Bombyx mori: one gene and its partner. The protein of the gene in region 1 purifies or fractionates together with the protein of each later gene. This does not show direct contact. Links are inferred from orthologs where the notes say so. Each region holds a gene or a part of one and is shown on either strand. Other genes may lie near its edges.

What was found. The genes of interacting proteins can lie anywhere in the genome.
Region 2: the proteins of F-box/LRR-repeat protein 16 (region 1) and S-phase kinase-associated protein purify together in Homo sapiens (affinity purification with western blotting; 5 studies listed by BioGRID and IntAct, with this or other methods). This does not show direct contact. The link is inferred for Bombyx mori from reciprocal best matches to the Homo sapiens genes FBXL16 and SKP1.

Annotation. Positions count from the first base shown.
Region 1 is NC_085117.1:11,694,028-11,697,527, forward strand, and holds part of F-box/LRR-repeat protein 16, read right to left. Parts: intron 3,452-3,500; coding exon 3,329-3,451; intron 2,439-3,328; coding exon 2,270-2,438; intron 1,655-2,269; coding exon 1,459-1,654; intron 676-1,458; coding exon 527-675; intron 1-526. UniProt on the Homo sapiens protein: Substrate-recognition component of the SCF (SKP1-CUL1-F-box protein)-type E3 ubiquitin ligase complex.
Region 2 is NC_085119.1:7,149,929-7,153,019, reverse strand, and holds S-phase kinase-associated protein, read right to left. Parts: upstream 1,908-3,091; 5' UTR 1,761-1,907; intron 1,670-1,760; coding exon 1,181-1,669; 3' UTR 501-1,180; downstream 1-500. UniProt on the Homo sapiens protein: Essential component of the SCF (SKP1-CUL1-F-box protein) ubiquitin ligase complex, which mediates the ubiquitination of proteins involved in cell cycle progression, signal transduction and transcription.

The DNA.
Region 1 (3,500 bases):
CTGATACTTAAACGGGTGCCGAGAAATGTTATGAATAACTTCTTTATTATGCCTGTTTATCTATTCTAATTTTCTGTTCTAACTCCTAAAATGAGTTTGAGGGCTGTCTAACAATGGCAATGACAACTAGCATTTTCTATATTTATTTTGTATTTATCTATTCTATACTAATATATAAATCTACAGTGGTTTTTATGGATGCTCCGCTATAACTACTGAACCATGCATCCGATCGACTTGAAACTTGGTATACATGTAGAAAATACATGTACTTAATGGATAGGCTAATATTTACATGAGCGTTGGACTCACTAATAATAATGACAATAAATAATAATGTTAATTTTAAAGGCCCAGCGAAGCGGGCGAGTACGGCTAGTAGTTAATAAAATAATATACAACACAAGCATCACAAAAATAATCTCTCAGAAATACTAGAGGTTTTATGATGTAAAAATATATTGGCTCTATATATTTTCTTGGAAACCGGTAAGTATGTTTGTACGGACTAAACAAATTCTCATACCTGCTAAGGACAGACACTGTAAAGACCGCATGGTACAAAGATGTTGCACGCCGAAGTCTCGCAGCTGCGAGCACCAGCGAAGGTACAGCGCCACCAGGGTCTGCATGGTGCTGATGTACCCCACGCCGATGTCCGTTATATGCACACATCTGGAGGGGACACAGGTTTTGTAGATTTATATTGAGTTTAAGAACTGTTTATTTTATAAATGCTGTTACCAACGCGTTTGTGATTTCTTTATGATCATTATTGGTGGTAGGACCTCTTTCTTGTGAGTCCATACGGGAAGGTACCACCACCGTGCCTATTTCTGCCGTGAAGCAGTAATGTGTTTCGGTTTGAAGGGTGGGCAGCCGTTGTAACTATACTGAGACCTTAGAACTAATGTCTCGACGTGGATGGCGGTATTTACGTTGTAGATGTATGTGGGCCCCGGTAACCATTTAACACCAGGTGGGCTGTGAGCTCGTCCACCCATCTAAGCAATAAAAAAATAAACAAAAATCACGGACAAAAATATATAGTTTAAAATAAAACACGCTCGAATGGCAAGCTTGCTGTAAAAGTATTTTTTTTATCCTGGTCAGCACACATCCTTAAGAAGTTAATTTTAAATTAAATTTATTAAAAATAAAAAAATTATTAAACTAGTACATTATCATTATTATTACCTTGTCATCAGTCTTTGATACGTACGCAAATTTTAAAGTTAATTAGACATTTTGAATAAACAAAAATTATGTCGAAAAATTCCATTACAATAGATGTTGGTCAAGGTAATAAGAACGTAGGGTAACATGGACTATATGAACCAGGGAAGAGTATATTTCAATAGAACGAAGAAGAATAAACGTTTTAGCCGTATTTAATATAAAAAAAAGGAATCAACGAAAAGTGTGTGAGAAAAGCTTGAGTAAACGATTACGCGTTACCTATCGAGAGTGAGCTCTTCGAGGTGGTTGAGGTCGCAGGCGATGTACTCGAGCGAGCTGTCGGTGACGCGCGGACACCAGCTCAGGTCGAGGCTGCGCAGGCGCGGCAGGTTCTCCGCCAGCAGCTCCACGCCCTCGTCCGTCACCTTGCTGCAGCCGCTCAGCGACAGCACCGTCAGGTTCGGCAACGAGTGCACTGCGCCAGCACAAACACGGCACGTTCAGTACATTCAACCAAGATTTTTTTTAAGGGATTTTATTAACGGCCGTCTGGTGTAGTGGTAAGTGACATGGTCACTACACAAGGGGGTCGCGGGTTCGAATCCCGCCTCCTCTATGCGTTCCTAAACTATTGATCTTAGTACAATTGTGGTTAGCGCTCCAAGGTTTCTGTCATAGTACCATCAACTTACAATAGATGGCGCGTGAATAGTTCTAAGAAATGTTTTTATATCATAGAATTAGCAATAAGCAGCGAAGGGCATAGGGCGGTGCTGTTCTAACTACAAAGTTACAGCTTTCATGTTAAACTTTACTATTAACAGTTGTCATTAAATGTTATTCTCTATATGATACGAAGGCAGTTTAACCCACTGAGTTTCTCGCCAGATCTTCTGTGGGTTACATTTCCAATTCGATGGTAGATTCTGCGAAGCACTGCCCTAACTAGGGCTAGTGTTAGCAATGTCCCAAGGTTAGAGCCCCGTGAGCTCACCTACTCGCTCGGTTACGTTGGCATAGCCTCTCAAGGCTACAAGCTTAGGTAGGGAAAAAAAGAGGGTAATAAAATGAAAATTAATGTTATCTTTACCGATATTAACAACACCATGATTGGTGAGTTCCCAGCAACTCTGCAGACGCAGGACGCTCAGCGATGCGCTCTGCTTTGGAGAGAAGTAACCGAGGGCTGCATCCGTGACGTGGTAGGCTTGCAATGAGAACTCGTACAGGGACGGAAGCAATTGTGCGACAGCTCCAACCTTCGTATGAAATACGAGTTATTAGTATGTAGTAGTATTTATCTATAATAATCTATACTAATACTAGTAATATTATAAAGAGGAAAGATTTGTTTGTTTGTTTGTCTTGAATAGGCTCCGAAACTACTGAACCTATTTGAAAAATTCTTAAACTGTTTGGAAACTACACTATTCCCGAGTGATATAGGCTATAATATTTTTTGAAAAAATTAGGGATCCTTACTAAAACTCCAATAATGTAACCCAAGGCGTAAAAAAATTACCTAAAATATTCTTTTCATCGTGTGCCCTGCGAAAACTATTGGTGATAGAATAAAATAATGTACTACGACTTTGTAGAACACATTATTATTAACAAAAAGTGTCGCGACAGCATATAGGTATTTCTAACTATTATAGTTATGCCTCAATAAGGGTTATTTTATTTAAAAAAATAAAACGTCAAATATCGTTGAAATTTTTGTTAAAGACCCGAGCGGAGCCGAAGCGGGCCGCTTGTTTTAAATAAAATTGAATGCAACTTTCTTATCACTAAACTTACTCAAAACAGTGTTGATGAAACGACATTTGATAGTGTGATTATTTACATTGACATATTATTACTTTTATTACAAGTTTTTCAATCGTGTCAAGTTTTAAAAGTCAATTGAATGATGACATAGCGAAGGCGTTAATAAGCAGTCTAAGAAATAATTCATCTTTGTATAACATTTGAAAGTATTTGTTATTTAGTTCTGGACGGCAATCGATTCCATAATTATCAAAAACAAAAAATCGTGGGAAATAAGCCTTTTTTTTAATTTCACAAAAATTTATACATCATGGTGAATAGACTCGAAGAGTAAAAACATTGTACTGTAGTTATCTATGAATTGAAGTTAAATACTTACAGCCTCATCAGCTATGTTAATGCAGTCAGTAAGCGTGAGTGATACAATTCGAGGTGTTAGACATGCCCATAATCCGGCTTCTGTTATTTCATTACATCCTGTTAGTTCTAACTCAAACAGTACCTAAAATGGACAGTAAAGTAAGTCTTCTGTAATGATAGATGCTTTACAA
Region 2 (3,091 bases), on another chromosome or scaffold:
TTAATGACAAATATCTAAGAGGAAAAAATTGTTTCATATATATTATTTTCATTTGTTATGCTGATGGTTTAATTCTATCTTAGCATCAGGAACTGACTAAGGGAATGTGGTTATCAAATACATACATATACAGTGAAAATCTATTATAACAACATCGAAGGGACTGCTCATATTCAGTCGTAACAACCAGTGATGTTTAATGTGTATCGTGCAAGTACAAACAAAGTACAAACAAATCGATAGTGAATTATTGGAAAAATATATTTACACAAAACGCAATTTTTCTTTGTTATTAATTTGTTTTTTTTCTTTGCAACATTTTGAAAGTTTCACGAATAACTCCACAAAGTTTTGGTGTGTCTTGTGTATAGATAAGTAACAAACTAACTGAAAAGATATGAAGAAGTGGGCTTTGACTCTACCGCATACACATTTTTGTTTCTAAGAATTAGAAAAGACCCTACACTAAACAAAATCCTATTGTTTTCTTTCCTGATTTTAATAGCCATTGAAGACAAATGTGGATACCTATTCAAATTGTTTACAATACAGCTTAGCCGGTCGTTCTAACAGATCTAATTCTCCGAAATATTAGTTAAATGTGGTCATTTTATTAGGTATGTCGGTATTAGCAATGTCGTATAAAGCAATGTTTTTAATAAGGCGGTCATATAGCATTCAGCCGGGACCTTTGTTCTAGGTTATTATAACCAGCATGTTGCTCAAAATGATGTCGCAGTAAACGGTTGTGACTGTATATTTATTTACTTTTTGTATTGACATTGATGGTGACAAACTTATTTTTGTGGTTTAACATTGCAATGGATACTGGCAATTTCTGGACACAATCAAGACTACCCACACAATTAGTTAAAAAATAAGCAGATGACAAAAATTTAAGTCAGTGATTTATGCTAATTATTTCTATTTCATAAAGTAAATTTTCCAATAAATATAATACAATTAAAGTTAAATGAAAAGTAATTTAAATGATAATATGAAAATTTAAATTTTATTGAAAATCACAATGACATGATGTACCTATTTTTATATAATTTACAACACAAACAAATTTACTTGGTTTAAATTAATTATTCTTTATTGCCATGGGAAAAATAGTTTAATGTTGCATACATAGTGATAATACATAAAGATGCTTGCAAATAGCATTTATTATGGTTTACTTTTCTTCACACCATTCATTCTCTTTACGAACCTGATCTTCTTCTGCAGCAGTGAAATCATTCTTAATGTTGAACGTTTTACGGATTTCTTCAGGAGTCTTTCCTTTGATCATGTTTGCTACAGTTTTACATGTGACATCTAATAAACCCTTGATGTCCAAATAATTTGCAGCTAATATTAATTCAAAGAGTGTGCCTTGGTCAACTTTCAAAAAATCAGCATCCCATGATGATATGTCATCAGTCCTCTTTTCCTTGTTTTCGTCATCTTCTGGTAGCGGAGGATCGTCTTTATGATAAGTAGCCCACTGAATAACTTTTTTGAGTATTGCAGAATTGACATTAGGTAAAGGTACAACTTCCTCTTCATCCTCTTCCATGCCTAAGTCTTCTAGCATAGTTTTGATAGTTACGGAGCATTTGGCGATTTCAACATCAACAACGAAGACCTCGTTGTCTGATGATTGCAACTTAATATTTGGCATCTAGAACAAAAGAGCGGTGGGAACGTAAATCATAAAACGACGGCTGAGAATAAGACGCCATTTTCCAATTTATAAATAGCGAAGTATTTACCTTGTTTTTTCAAGTATTTGAATGTTCACAATTAAGTGAAATTTATTTATCTTCAAACGAAAATGCCCTTATGTTCTGGAGATTTTTCCTTAAACCCAAACAGTGAATCAATGAGTGAACGAATGAATAAAATCATTAATCAATTTTGTTTTTTTTTCTGCTTTCGTTTAAATTTTTCTAAGGGATTTTATGACCTGGTAACTAAGACCTTTAGGTCATGTCTTTTTTTAATTTATATTCAGATTTTTATAAATTTTTTATTATGGAGTGAAATGAAATGAAGATGATTAATTTGAGACATTAATCAACTGGGATGAAATTAAATGAAATGAGTTGATATGGTATGAAATATAATCTCAGTAAAATGGTGGTTATTTACTAAGATTTTTTCAGTGGACTTTTTGGAGGAACTCGAGAAGTTACGTCCAGCAGCTTTGTTTCATTTTCCCACTTTTGTGCACTTTCACAGATATTAAACATTTAATAAACCACCGTTATTACACATTTAAACCTGAAGAAACACTAAATAGACAAAATAAAACAAATCACACAACTTCACTCCTCGCGCTCCCGCCAAAAGTACCTCCAACACCAATTGTTTTTTAAGGGATTTTATGACCTCATAACTAAGACCTTTAAGTCATGTCTTATTTTAATTTATATTCTTATTTTTATGAAAAATGATAATATGGAGATAAATGAAATGAAATGAAGATGATTAATTTGAGAAATTAATCAACTTAGATGAAATTAAATGAAATTTGATGATATGGGATGAAATATGATCTCAGTAAAATGGTGGTCATTTACTGAGATTTTTTCAGTAGACTTTTTAGAGGAACCCGAGAACTTACGTCCAGCAGCTTTGTTTCATTTTCCCACTTTTGTGCACTTTCACAGATATTAAACAGTTAATAAGCCACCGTTATTACATATTTAAACCTGAAGAAACACTAAATAGACAAAATAAAACAAATCACACCACTTCACTCCTCGCGTTCCCGCCAAAAAGTCCCTCCAACACCAACATTCATTTCCCACCATAGATACACACTTAGTTTCCCACACAACTAAAAAAAAAAAGAAACTTGTGAATGGAGTAAAGAAGAAATCTAATATATAAAATTCTCGTGTCACAGTTTTCGTTGCCATACTCCTCCGAAACGGCTTGACCGATTTTGATGAAATTTTTTGTGCTTATCCGGTATCTATGAGAATCGGCCAACATATATTTTTCATCCCCCTAAATGTTAGGGGTAGTCCACCCCTAAATTTTTATTTTTATTTTTTAGACAAAATTTTTAATTTCTATTTTTTTATGATACAGCATA